Oreochromis niloticus: one gene and its partner. The protein of the gene in region 2 interacts with the protein of the main gene of each other region in a biochemical or structural test. Links are inferred from orthologs where the notes say so. Each region holds a gene or a part of one and is shown on either strand. Other genes may lie near its edges.

Region 1 (7,365 bases), on a different chromosome or scaffold from region 2:
CAGACGTCATCGCGCACGGCTTGCGATTAAAAAAATGGAAAGAACGCACTGACGTAAGAGCCCCTGACATAGTTAACCCTGGCAACAGGCGGAACAATAAATAGAGCAAGTGGAGGTGCAGGGAAAAAAGATGGCTATCCCTTATATAAGCTAATTTTAGCATTATTTTAATCATTTTTGAAAGCATTTTACTGGAAATGCTTTTAATTTACTACTCCTGAGAATATTCCCCTCTTTTATTTTTTCTTTTATTATTTTTCTCTTTCATCTTTTCTTTAATTATTTTTCCTTTGCCTCTCTTCCCCTAAACATGGGGCGAGGTTTCTTCCTGTTAAAAAGAGTTTTTCCTTCCCGCTGTCGCAAAGTCCTTGCCCCATGAGGTGACTGATGAATACACCTGAATTGAACTGAATAAATATGTAAATGCGTGTGTGTGTGTGTGTGTGTGTGTGTGTGGATATCATGAGAGGAAGCAACACACCCAGCCAGCACAGATGATTGAATTGAAATATCACTATCTTTTTATTTACATAACTTACAAACAACATTCTTCTTTACTATCTCTTTCTCTATTCCTCTATGTGTAAAAAAATAAATTTAATAAATTAAAAGGACTAATGTTTTCACAGAAAACTTCGGATAGACCACTCAGACCATGGTTAAGACAATGCACGTCTTTTTTTGTTTGTTTTTTTTCTTTTTAAAATTTCACAAACAGTTCACATATTAACTCTCACATTCCATTAACCAGAAAACAAACTGGATCAATAATAACTATTGCTCTGAACACACATCGATAAACAACAAGTTATGTTATCTAGCACCATATAAATCATATACGAACTCATATAACGACTAGGTGGTATTAGTTGAAACATGCGGGGAGGGGTTTTTTTGTTTTTGTTTTTTAAACTTGCTACATTGGTGTTATAGGCAAGTATAGATAAAGGCAGATAAAAATCATAAATAATTTAATATAAGTCTGTTCCATAGCCCTGTGATCGGCACATCTATGTAAGAAAGTGTGCTTTGATAGGAAGAATCATTGTTTCTTGTACAGTCTTTTAGAGGGCCAGCAGGGTGGGTGAGCTGAGGGAGTCGGAGGACTGCTCATTGCTGCTGCTTCCTCTCCTGTGGGCAACGCCGCAGGTGGGGAAGGTCTCTGCCTCTGGGAAGGTGAATACAAATGAAGACGTGAAGGTAGTGCAGGCTGGGGTGCAGGTTACTACAGGTGTGCACAGGGGCTCGAAGTCATTGGTATTAGCTGAGGTGTGAAGAGCCTCCCACTCCTGACCCGTGTAGAGGGAGCTGGACAGGTCGACCTCTGGCACCGACCGTGCCGTCTCCATCTCTGTCTTTGCCAGGAGATCCAGAGACTCCTCCAGGACAGAGGACTCCAGGTCTGACATCTTGACTGTGCTGCTAGAGACAGTGGCTGTGGAGAGGGCGGTGCTGGTGCTGGAGAAGATGGAGTTGGAGGTTGAGGTGAAGGTCGGCTGGCTGGAAGCGATAGCAGGTGTCTGAGAGACGGTGATCTGTGGCTGGGTGGACACTGCAGCGGAGTGGCAGGAATGGGTAGGAGAGAGGGAGGTCAGGGGGAAGTCCGTGCCCAGCTCAGAGGGGATTTTGCAAATGGGCTGGTGGGCAGCCAGAATGAACTCAAGCCTCTCCTTCTCCTTCAGCAGGTTGGCGATATCATTCTGCAAGTTGGATTTCTGGTCTTCCAGGATATCAGTTTCCTGTAAGAGAGAGAAATGGAGGAAGTTGCATCAGCTTGGCTGTTGGATAGCTCTGCTATTAGCTCTGACAATAAACACGTTTTAATGAGTGATGGTAAGTCTGATGGGATACTTACAGCTTGCAGAGTGTCTGTAAGCTCTCGCCTCCTGTTGCGGCATTTTGCTGCTGCCTGCTTATTCCTCTCTCTGCGAATCCTTCTCTTCTCTTCCTCCTCAGGTGTCATCTGCACATGATAGAAGGTAAAAGTTAGGACCCCTGCTCTTTAATAAACTTAGTCTATGACTATATATAACACTTCATGAACGAATGATAATTACCTGTTCCACTTTGCCTCTCTTGTTGTGAGCCCTGGACACTGCAGATTTCATGACTGCTCTTGAATATGCAGGGCTGGGGCTGGAGGTGTAAGGGTGAGCTCCGTGGGAAGGGGCCACTGAGGAGACCACAGGCTGGACCATCCACTGAAGATCTGGGCTCGTGGAAATGGCCGTGACTGTGGGGATGAAGGAGGCACTTGATGCTGTCAGGTCTGTGAAATCCTGGAGGAAATGAAATAAAAGAGAAGATCGTCAGGACGTTTAGTACATTATCAGGAGGGGTGGCAGCATTGCAAGATGTCTATGAATGAAGCACGGAGGGTCTATAAAAAGCTGGATGGTTTAAAAATATCCTTATGATGTCAGCTATGACGTTACACTCTCTCTATGGAGTTTCCAGGTGGATGAATGAAGCTTGCCTTGCACTGTTTGGTGCGCAGGTCAGAGTTATTTTTTAAAATATATATATACATATTTAAAAACAAAACTCAATGAGTGCTTTTCTTAATTTCCAGCCAGCCTTTTTCATTATTACCATTATTATTATCTGAAAACATCACTTTTAAGTTTTGTCAGTTTAATTTAGTAAACATCCAAATCTCCAACAGGTCCTTTCTGAGCTGAAATAGCGTGCTGTAAAAATTTAACAATGTTTAAGCGGACATACCTGAGACTGGGGAGATCCCATGCTGGAGTAAGATCCCGCTGGTGACGGGTAATATCCCAGAGTGTCCACGGACGGGGAAGCGGTGCTGCAGCGAGAGGAAGAGTCGCAATCCGCGTTGAAATTGAACATCATCGTTCCTTTTTTTCGAAAAAAAATTAAGCAGATAAGAAGATCCGGACAAACTCTACTAAGGACGAATGTAAACTTGAGGTCAGGATAGTCCTTTAGTGGGTTTGCGAGAAAACTCTTCAAGCGCTGTTCCCGATCAGTTCTCTTAGTCGCTGTTCTGCTACTCAAAGTTAGACTGCCAACTCTCCGAGCTGGGCCATTTATATACTGTCTGCTGACGTAAAGAGGGGTGTGCCGTGCACCCGACACCAGGAAGGAAAAAAAACACCAAAACACTGACTTAACAACGCGGTAATAACACCGACTTTTCCTCGCGCTCCATTTAAATTCAATACAGTTTGTTTGCACGAGTCACGAATGAGTCATTTACAGGTGATAAGTGACTATTTGAAATGTTTATTTCTAAAACTCGTCTTCAAGAAATGGAATATTCCGGAGCGGGATCCCCGATACGTAGGTATCCATATATGGTGCATCCTGTGAAGGAGGCGGGGCCTGATGGGAAATACACCGTGAGAGTGGCGGACAGCGGCATGACGTTATGTAAAACAACAAACAGAGATTGTTGTGAAAACTTAAAGAACTGAGATAACAGTGAGGAAAAGTGCGTCCTACACAGCAAGGACACAATTAAACATGCAAATGCGTCTGTGCTGAACAAAATGTACCAAACAAACACATGAAAAAAAAAAAAAAAATCTGTTTCTGTTTTTTTTAACCCCCTCCCCCAGCCGCGCACCTCCTTTTTTATTTTTATGTTTTTGAAATATAGAAACTCAGTTTTATCGTGCAAACTTTCGGCTTGTGGTGAAGCACTTTGTGATATTCATCTTGAAATTTGGCATATAAATAACATGTTATTTACGTACTCGCTAACTTCACTCACTGACTCACTTATCGGCTATTTTTAAAGTGTTTAATTTGATAAATGGTTACACACTTAATGCGAGACAATCCATACAATCACAGAAGGTCCGCATTTGCATGTGTAGGTCACGAAATACAAAGAATAATTAAAAATAAAGATAAGAATAAGCGAGAAAATGGTGGGTAATTAATTTTTACTTGATTCTGTGGTCTGTCCGTTTTCTAAAGTAAACCGACTTTTAATTTACTTATTTATTTAATTTTTGTATTCATGTATTTTTCTTACTTAATCCCAGATGCGTTTATATCCAGTAAGTTACAATGGAATTGTTTCATAGTCAGTCTAAAATATCTCTACATAAACGTTGCATGTCAGGACATGGGTGACATGTTCTCCACCCTCAGGTACTGTTTGTACCTTTCGCCTGCAATCCAGAACAGGGCGTGTTTAGCTGCAGAGCGAGCTGATAACTGGTTTTCTGTGTGTACGTTTCCTCGACGACAGGAGATGGGGAGGGGTGGCGGTTAATTGTAAAGGTCTTCCCCAAAGCCACTAGCAGAGGGAATCCTCAAGATTTACGTAAGAAGCTATGAAACGAATTCATGAAATGCAGGCTTAACGGTGAGCCAACATTGCGACTGCATTTGCTGTTTAATAACTGTTCGTTCTCTGACATCAGCACTTTTTTTTTTATTATCCTGTTCACTTGAGAAGTAGGTCTGTGGAACAAGCAGCATGACTTTCGTGCAATATTACCAAAGTCAGCAACATTTGCTGGTAGTTTTGTTCATGGTTTATTCTTAATAAAGGCGATACATTCATGATACATGAGTTTAATGAAACACAATTCATACTTTTCTTCTTCTTTTTTTCTCTCTCTCGTGAGTCTTCCGGGAATTCCCTTCTTTAACTAAACAAGCACAAAACAAGCACCATAAGCGCTCTCGACCCATTAAACAAACCATAAAGACTAAACAAAGGTGTCATTGTGTCAAAAGGCTCTAATTCAGGCTATAGGATTTTGCGCTTTCTTTCCCGCGCCAGTGTTTTGTTGAACATTCCTGGTTGTCATAGCGACGCCCAGCCCCTTTCGCGTCAGTGACGTCCATTTATTTTTTATTTTTTCATAGCAACGAAGATCGTGTCTAATCATGAGGAGGAGCCGCATCAACAGAGAAACACCAAACCGGCTTTTTCGGCATCGCCTGTGGAGACGGAACGTGCACATGAACACGTCATTAGCGGTTCCCGGAAACGTCGTCGGAGTGAGAGCTCTGAGTGTTTTCCCATCTCTGACAGTCCTCCCCTTTCCTCGGTGTCTGCGGGTCAACGGAATGGAACGGGACACCAAACAAGCCGTTTACCTTGAGCGGTGTTTGAGTTCTGTTTGAGTGGTTGGCATGAAGGTTGCTGACCTGCACTGTTTGAGTGACCTGGTTTTTGCTGGTGTTATTTCGTGTTGGACTGAGACTGGAATCGAAATAAAATTATAATAACAATAATAATAATAATAATAATGATAATAATGATAATAATAATGATAAAAAGAAAGAAAGAAAGAAAGAAAGAAAGGCAATTTCTAAAATAAAAACATATTTTTTATTGCTGTTTTTAAAAGTATTTAAAGTTAAATACTATCTAAATGCTATCTAATACCTGAAGTTATTTCTTTTTTTCTTTTTTTTTTATCGCTGCTCTTTGGCTCCTCAAAGGAGAACAGTTCACTAAAATGACCGTGAACTTGGATGCCAGTGGATCTAAAAATAAATTCTACAGTCTTTGCGCATTCACGCTCAAGTTGCTTTGAAGAAAACGACTGTTAGAGCTGTGCTGAGAGGTGAGTATTGTTCGACCTTTGAACTTCTTTTTGTCCCAGGCCGCTCAAAACGACCACCAATAGTGATGTGCCGGTAAATAGGGCCCAAGGCGGGGGGTTGCCACTGCCGGGAAGTACCCGGGAGCGCAGAGCAAACAGGGGGGAGCTTCTCACTCTATCCAGCGCTTATCCCTTTCACTTGGATGGGTTCGTGAGGTCACATGAAACCTAAATATAGCCCAATCCGGCCCGCAAGCTCTTGTTATGGGAGCAGAATTAGGTTATGCGGGAACATCAATTAAAGCCCGGGCTTTAATTGGTGCCGATAAACTGCATTACCGTCTGTGAGAAAGTAAGTCACGTTGTTCCTGTCTAGAAATTATGTCAGTCACTGGCCTTCTTGAATTCTCCGATTCCCTCATGAGTCTGTTTTGCACATCTGCGGCTGCACCTAATTGCCACCCTTATATGGAAAGGTGGGTCAAATCCTTCGCATCCTCAAACTAACGCCTGTGCGGGCATTCTTGGCGCAGCTGATGACGCTGATATCAGGTACAGCACAGGGTCAATCTCTGAGAGCTTGTTTTACTTTCTTTTTGCGGCAGCGAGTGAGTGGGCCACACACAGCCCGGCAGCGTCCGTCTGCGCGCTATCCTTCCTATCCTTGTGCCACAGCACCCCCCCATCCCCCCACCCCTCCCGGAAATACCATATATGGCTCGACCGGTCCATTCGGCGATTGGCTGCTTGGCTTCAGCGACAGTTCTGTTGCTGGAGCTCTATTCATATGTAGAGACAGGTGAAAGGCAATGTGATACGTGAATGACACTTAATTATGACGGCTTATAAATAATCAGGCAGTGTGCTGGAAGTGTGCTGTGAAATAATTAAATTAATGCCGGATTTTATTATGTGTCTATAAATAGATGATGGAACATTAGTGCATAATCATTGTTCTAATGTGGACAGTTTGGAGGAGAAAGAACCGGGGAAGCACCACACTGGCTATTTTAAAACCATTTATTAATGAAGCCTATTACACTGCCTCCACTTTCCTTCTAATGCATTGAGAGCTCGTGTTACCGTAAATGCCCAGAAGCATTAAACAAAGGCTAAATGTCGAGAACATATGAGGGCATGACGGGAACATATAGCCTGTGATGCAGATGCTGCATACATGAAGTGACGTAGTTCATTCATGGCGGTGGGCACCTTTTGGAGGGAGGGGTGCCATTTTCTATGTGCTCACTTTAAAAAAAAAAACATTTGAGTTCTGATAATAAGCTGAAATAAAACAGTGGGCTAGTGTTGATTTTTACGCACTTCAATGATTTGATTGTTGAACTGTAAAAAAACCCATCTGCTAGCCCCTTTCTCCTGTCACTTCTCCCTCGGTGAAATGGTTCGGTCTCACCACACAGATTTCATTCATAAAATTCCAGCTCACTATAAAAGGCGGGCCTCTCCACTATGTGCACAGTTATGAACCTGGCAAATGGAATATAGGCGTCCGGGACATCCGTTTTCTGTCTAGCACAGACTGACTGTTCAGTCTCTTATGCGGTGATTTAATTTTATTTTGAATTTTTATTTTTTAATGAAACCATGCATCCAGACTCCAGCACTGAGTTCGACTTATCGTCCAGCTGTAGCACAGCATCGCCTGGCGGGGACACCCCTGGGTGCAGTCAGCATCCTCCTGACTCGCTTTCATCATCAGTGGACAGCACCAAGGTAGAGCCGGATCTCTTCATTACACACACAAAAACCTGATCACAAAGCGTAATCTTGTGTTTGACGCATGCGGGTGATACTGCATTCCTCAAAT
Region 2 (6,909 bases):
TGAATGTTTCCTATAATAAGATGCTGTTACTCTTTCCTCAACATCAGGAATAAATAATATGAGCAATCAAGTAAAAGGTATTCGTCTGAATCCAACTAATATGTGTGTAGTACTGCTAATCTTTTCAGTTTTAGTGTATTCACAACAGAATAAGACAAGTTAAGAGTTCAAAATTAAATTATATTAAGCAGAAAGTCCCAATGCTTCACAAAGCGGATTTGCAAATTTCTGATCACAGGAGTAGAGAACGTCCTTCATTACAGCGTTGTAAATGCTCTATGGTAAGAAAAAATGCCAGAGGCAGCTTAAAGTGCCTACCTTGTCATCATTTGTAGTAGACTCAGGATGAGGCAAAGGGCTATCTCGATGTGTCTCTATCACTGTGGGCTCCTCAATTTTGTTGCGTATGATAGGTGTCGCAAGAGGTGACAAATCCAGGGGTAGCTGTGGAACAACAAGAAGCCCAAAATGATCACAAGAGTGAACACAGACAAGGCTCAGATGATCTGCTTACACATTTAACAGCGAGAACCACCTTTTTAATTTCATCTTCAGTGGCTTTTTTGAAGTCATGGTCAAAAGGACTGGCGAGTTCATTGAAGAGCCCGACCTCCTCGCAGTTCTTCAGGAAGCGAGTAGGCGTTGGGGTTTGGTCTGCAAGGGAGGAAACTCTTGAGCACAGAGATGGAAATGTAAAGCATCCATCACCTCTGAATATTCCATCTAACAGAGCACTCACCTGCAATGATAACACTGTCATTCCGAGCAGGGCCAAACTTCAGGGTCATCTCATGTTTGTGTTTGTGGACAGCCAAGTGGTCTTCATTTGTGAATCTCTATGCAAGGTTTCAAAAAAATACAGCAAGTGTGACTGATGTGACTGAAAGAAGTCTTACTTAAACCTTAAAATTTTAATTCTGACCAATAATTTAGTCTTCTACGTCATGGCTGGATTCTAGCTTGACAGCTTTACTGCCTCAAACGTGTGGCTGTCGAAACTCATTATAAGCTTTAACTGCGAAAGCTGTTATATAATTGTGCCCAACCCGTTAAGTTTTATGAGTATTGACTAAACAACAGAAACAAATCCTGCTGACCAAAACCACGAACAACTGAGCAGCAACAAAGCCAAAGGTCTCTAATGTTACTATGGATGTAAAGCAGACCTGACTAAGTAAAATGGACTCTAACAAACACTGGACATTGGACTTCATGAGGTTAGATAGCACGATCTACGTACGTACTTATCAGACAACTGACTGAGTACAGCAAATACACATCTAACACCTGTGACACACTAGACATGTCCTCAGAATTGGGAAAAGGATCTGGGGACTATGAAGACCCATTTATATACATTAAGTCAAATTAAGCATCTCCAGATATTAGATGAGCAGTAACTAAACAAATGAAGAAGGTTATTTTGATCTATTTAGTCACATTAATTTTGTTTTGATGAGCCAAAATACTTTATTTTTCAAATGAATATTTGTTTTTTTTCCCCCATGCAGACAAGAGGGAAAAATTAAGAAGAAAAACTAAATTTGAAAAATGCAGATCATCATTGCTTATTGGTCAAACTGTCATTTAAATCACTGGCAATGGTATTTGCATATATTTCATTTCCATCGAGCATCTTTTTTTTAAGATGACAGATTGTGAGTCTTTTAGGATGATTTCAATACTTTTTGGATTCAGTACATCTGAATTTTATGTATTTTAGCACAAAAATTAATTAGTTAAGTGTAGATTTTGACCAAAACCTACACTTTAGTGGATTTTAGATCATATAATACATAGAGTATGTCAAAATGACTTAAAAAAAAATCATAACAAAAAACAGAGCACCTGATTACCAACTAGGCATTGTGATTAAGTTCCTTAGAGCCCCAAATCAATGTATATGAGTAGGTGTTGGGACGTTTACCCTATTATAAATGTTTCCAGTATTGTTATGATGGGATATGTTTTAAACTTAGCGATTTAACACCATGTTTGCTTTAGTTTGTACTGTGCTCATATGGCACTTTTTTTTTTTTAAATAAACTGTTTGGGTCTATATACAATGAAGCAGTGACCAGTTAGCAACGTATTTGTTTGTTTGTTTGTTTGTTTTTTGGACGTGGAAATGTGGATCCAGTCATGTTCATCTGTACAGTGAGATTTATGAAACACCTGTGATCAAAAACTTACCTGTCCACACCCAGGAGCAGTACATAGGAAAGGTTTATCATCACTCATATTAAGGAATTCCTGTTACCTCGCCCTGAAATAAAAACACAAAAAATAAAAATAAAAAATATATAAATAAATATCACACCTGCAGATATGCAATGATGTATATTTCAAGAGCTGACGGTATACAAATAGGGCTATAGCAAATAATAATTTGTGAGAATAAATGTAGCTCATAAATGTGTAAATACAGGGTGGTTGGAGGATGCAGTGGTTAGAAAGCAGAGCTGGAAATTTGGACAAAGCCTATGGATGCAGGGCGGCTGCTTTGGTTGTTTACACTCGGTGTCATCATAAAGAGGATTATCGCTTCACTTGTTTTGGCACAACAAGCGACTGAGCCACGCATCCAGGGCTATCATCATCTGACAGCTTCTGTGCTGTAAATATAGCAGCTCATCGCAAACAGACATCACACACATGAACATCTCACTATTACGTTACTACATAGGTAGCGCTCATCTCTTCCAGTCGCTTCCACGGAATAGCCTGAGCCCTGCGTTAACATACTAGCGTCGCCATATTAGGAGCTAAATATCACTGTAAACAAAGGAGATGTCAGCGTTTGTTTCAAGGCTGTCTCGTCGTAACGGAGCACGAGTACCTCACGGTCCCAGCAATTATGTCTTTTACCACAGCTTTTTACCCATTCGCTATCAGTTTATGTGGTCACTTACCCCCTCAGCCACAACCCTTGATTTCCAAAATCCCACGGTCGTACTAAAGCATCGCGAGAACAGCTATGACTCTTCCGTAAACGTCACACTCGGACAGATGAGCCACATACACTTTGCTCTTGTTCTGTCATTGACCTTCAAGTAGTTTTGGAAAAGAATTAGGAGAAGCAGAAATGTTTTAAGGCATATAAAAAATCCTTGCTAACAAGTCATATTTCTGATGTTTCTCCTTTCAGAAAATTACTGATTTAGTTTTCAGTGTTTTCTGGAGGCTCCAGCTTCATCCCTTTTATTATTTTTTTATACATAAAACAATCTTTATTCATTTTTTAATTATTATTATTTTTATCTTTATTATTGTTTAATATTGTAACCTTCCAAGATTTTTTTAAGTGTTAAAAAGGTAACAGATCATATATGTTATCTGACCAGAATCCTTTTTTCACTGCTGATGGTCAAGACTTAAGTTTTTTAACATGATTTTAGGCAATCTGTGAAAGGCTCCAGTCCCCCATGAGCTGTTTTGGATGTGTGAGAAAAAGGGTGGATATAAACCATAAACCACCCCCAGTTAACTGCACTAGTTTACATTATACACTCCATTTTGAACTATATTGTATATATATCACCATTTTATATTGCTATACATTTAGATCTATGTGGTAGCATTTTTTTATTTTTTTTTCCATGACAAGTGACAAATATTACCTTATCATAGTAAAGGATTGTACAGCAACAGTTGGGGTAAGCCAGAAATTAAATTGAGATATTTAAAGATCATCCTTGACAATGAATGTTGAGCATTTCTGCTTGATAAGTGACTTAATGATTATCATCTCTGGCATTTTTGAAGACTGATTTTACCTCTTCAAATTTAAGCTCAGCCAGTGAAAGCAGCCAACAATAAAGGTGTAATGACTACAATCTGTCAGCTTTTGAAACCGGGACTTTCATCACGAGTCAAAAAATTCAAAACCCATTACTTAGCTCAATTAAAATCAGCTAGGTTTATTCAGTGGCATTTACAAAAGCAAGCACTCACTTGCTGCCTGAATACAATATTACTTAAGTGCAGCTGAACCAAAAAGTCATTAAGGTGGACCCCAAAAAGCTTGCATGTTATGGTCTATGAAAACAAGGCTGAGTAATGGCAAGCCTAAGCACCTGCTTCACAGAAAAGATGACATTCATGAAGGCCAAGTGCTTTCAGTTGTGTTACCATTTATAATCCAGACATAAAAGTTACTGCCATTGTTAAATAGTCAAACACATGTATTTTAATCACGTAATTTCTTACATTTGTACAATACATGTCTTGGCTTTTTTGACAGTGTCTAAAAGACTTGAAAATGTACATTTCCCATGACACCAACACGGAACAATTTTGGTAGCCACAATAAAATATGTAGTCACATCTGTAATGAAAATTTTGTCTGACAGCAGAGTTTTACATAGCGAACAGGATAAGGAAAGCCACCATCAAACAGAACAGTCCCATGGCTTCAGACAGGGCGAATCCCAGGATAGCGTATGAAAACAGCTGCTGCTTCAGAGATGGGTTCCTGCAAAGAAAGGAAGAAAAGAAGCCATCAGCACATTTACAGAACACACAAGGAATCAATTAGCGTCATAGTGAAGAATAAAGACACTGAAATTAAAACAAACCTAGCATAGCCAATGATGAGACTACCAAACACTGTCCCAATTCCAGCACCAGATCCAGCTACTCCGACTGTGGCGGCTCCGGCACCAATGAACTTGGCGGCAGTGTCAATGTCCCTGCTGATAGCGCTGGTCTGGAAGCCTCTCAGTGTAGCCTGGCTCAGGGGGCTCTGGGGCAGCAGAGCAACGCTGCTCTGTAACAAGAGAAGAGGCACTGTAAACACTGTCCTTTCGTTGCCCGCCTCAATGTAAACATCAGCTGACATTTAAAACAGTGTGGCAGCAGATGACAGGAGTAATATAGGAGGCATAGTGTGAAATTTAGGGAAATTTCAACCAGTTCTGTCACACCATTAATCAAAAAAATTTGCCAATTTACCTGCAAGTTTTAAACTTAAAGATAAACTACAGAGCAGAAATGCGCACATAAAGGTTGTACTATTTATTGCATGTTTGTTTTAACTTGTATTTTATTTCTTTTAAAACTTTGTTTTGTTGCTTTTATTGCTTTCAGAGACTGCAGATTTGCATAGCTCGTCTTTATCTTATATGGTAAGCACACTGAGTTTACGTATTATGAAATGTGCTCTATAAAATTGACAGTGGTAATTTAGGTAATAATTTCCAACACTGCACTGTTAAGAAGGGCTGAAGAAGTTGCAGAAAGCCTGCATTTCTTCTTACCTCCGATTTAACATCAGGCCTGGACAGCACAGAGGCAGACAGAGGTCGGTAAAGAACCCGGGAACCAGCACGGACCTGCAACAACAAGACCAAAAACATGAATAATGAGTCTAGATAAACAATTTACATGACTGTATGCTCAGTAACACACAACACATGTGCTTCTAATTTCTGCTACATAACTTTGCACTTTTGCTGTAACAAAACAAATTTCCCACCTGTGGGACTAATAAAGGCCATCTTATCTTATCTTATCTTATCTTTAACAGTGGCAACTATTCCCCATTTGTGGGCATGTGTGAAGGTGGATGACACCTTGAATGTCTCAGTGTTTTTCATTGCACTGTGTGACCTGTGGCATTCAGTGATGACTGCAAGTAGCGTTAAAAGTTTACTGTTGAGCAATGATGTTGGCATATTACAATAAAAATACAATGCAAGTTAGCTAACACCCATTTGTGCTGTCATTCAAACTGGTTAGCCTCCAAAACCAGTATCATGACCTTGGATAAAGACATTCCAGGATATATGTACGTGCAAGCTGGCAGCCCAAACGGAAAATGCAACCATTTCTGTATTGTTTGCAAAGTGCGGGGTCTTGTGCACTCTGTCTGCGCCTTGTTCTGCTAACAGAAGGCCTAAATGACCTTAGCTAGCGGCCATAATGGGAGCTATGTGCTAAAGGCTAACGCAGGATTATAGATGCATTATTAACAATTAAAAAAATCGCATGCGTAAATTTCATTAACATTGCACCCATTCTGCTGCCATTAAAAGGGGATTGTGAATTACTGGTTTAGCATTAGCCGGCTAAACTCCCGGCCTAGTCTGATACCCTTGCAGGAAAGCTGCAGTCAAGTTCAACCAGAGGCCCACCGGCTTTATTAGCGACATTAAGAGAAGTCCGACTCAAAGAAACACAGACGAGGAGAAAACTCACCACAGCCGGCGTGGAGACGAACTTAGCGCAGGCGTACATTTTCTACTTTAGGTAGTTTTAACCGGTTCGGTCAAATCTGGTTGAAGCCCGGGTCTCTCTATGGAGGGAAGATTGGACAGAATTAAGGTCAAACGGGTGTAAAAATGCCCAGCAGAGAAAATAACAGCATTCATAAGTGCATTCACATCCGTTCTGTATGCTATCCTCACTTGTGCACTGCAATGCGAAGCTTAAAGAAAGGATGAAAAGGGATTTATAAAGATACGCTTCTCATTCAAACTGCCATTACACACTTACCGACTGCAGAGGTCGAACCACAGTGGAAGAGTACGCATGCGCGATGGGGTGTTTGTAAGAGGCCCGGATGGTGACTGGGAAGGTCGTTTCAATGAAACTTTATTGAAAATCAGCCGGAAGGGAATCTTTATCAATATGAGAAAAAAGTTCAGAGGGACATTTAAAAATGTTTTATACTATTGGAAATGGCCAGTTCTACTACATTCAATGTTAAGAAATCTGATTTTTTTAAAAGTTTTTTTTTTAATTTTCTTTTTAAGTAAAAAGAAAGCCAGTTACATTTACCTGCTTTTCCAATTCTTTCTTATCACCAATCACTGAGTCTGAAGCATCATTTGATCATTTTCTATATTTTTTTAAACAGGTTTATGACATTACTTCATGGATGTAGCGACAAAAGAAGCATGTATTTCA

Evidence for each region.
Region 1: the proteins of atf2 (region 2) and fosab form a complex in vitro, tested with the Homo sapiens proteins (3 studies listed by BioGRID and IntAct, with this or other methods). The link is inferred for Oreochromis niloticus from reciprocal best matches to the Homo sapiens genes ATF2 and FOS.

What each region holds. Positions count from the first base shown.
Region 1 is NC_031980.2:9,324,658-9,332,022, reverse strand, and holds fosab (v-fos FBJ murine osteosarcoma viral oncogene homolog Ab), read right to left. Parts: upstream 3,037-7,365; 5' UTR 2,857-3,036; coding exon 2,725-2,856; intron 2,280-2,724; coding exon 2,058-2,279; intron 1,964-2,057; coding exon 1,856-1,963; intron 1,740-1,855; coding exon 1,065-1,739; 3' UTR 499-1,064; downstream 1-498. Other genes in the region: proto-oncogene c-Fos, read left to right, coding at 7,143-7,271. UniProt on the Homo sapiens protein: Nuclear phosphoprotein which forms a tight but non-covalently linked complex with the JUN/AP-1 transcription factor. In the heterodimer, FOS and JUN/AP-1 basic regions each seems to interact with symmetrical DNA half sites.
Region 2 is NC_031987.2:16,730,833-16,737,741, forward strand, and holds the start of atf2 (cyclic AMP-dependent transcription factor ATF-2), read right to left. Parts: upstream 3,006-6,909; 5' UTR 2,913-3,005; intron 2,888-2,912; exon of another isoform or gene 2,840-2,887; intron 2,826-2,839; exon of another isoform or gene 2,427-2,825; intron 2,267-2,426; 5' UTR 2,242-2,266; coding exon 2,194-2,241; intron 837-2,193; coding exon 740-836; intron 655-739; coding exon 536-654; intron 445-535; coding exon 319-444; intron 1-318. Other genes in the region: atp5mc3a (ATP synthase membrane subunit c locus 3a), read right to left, coding at 4,360-4,474, 4,578-4,768, 5,259-5,333, 6,199-6,237. UniProt on the Homo sapiens protein: Transcriptional activator which regulates the transcription of various genes, including those involved in anti-apoptosis, cell growth, and DNA damage response.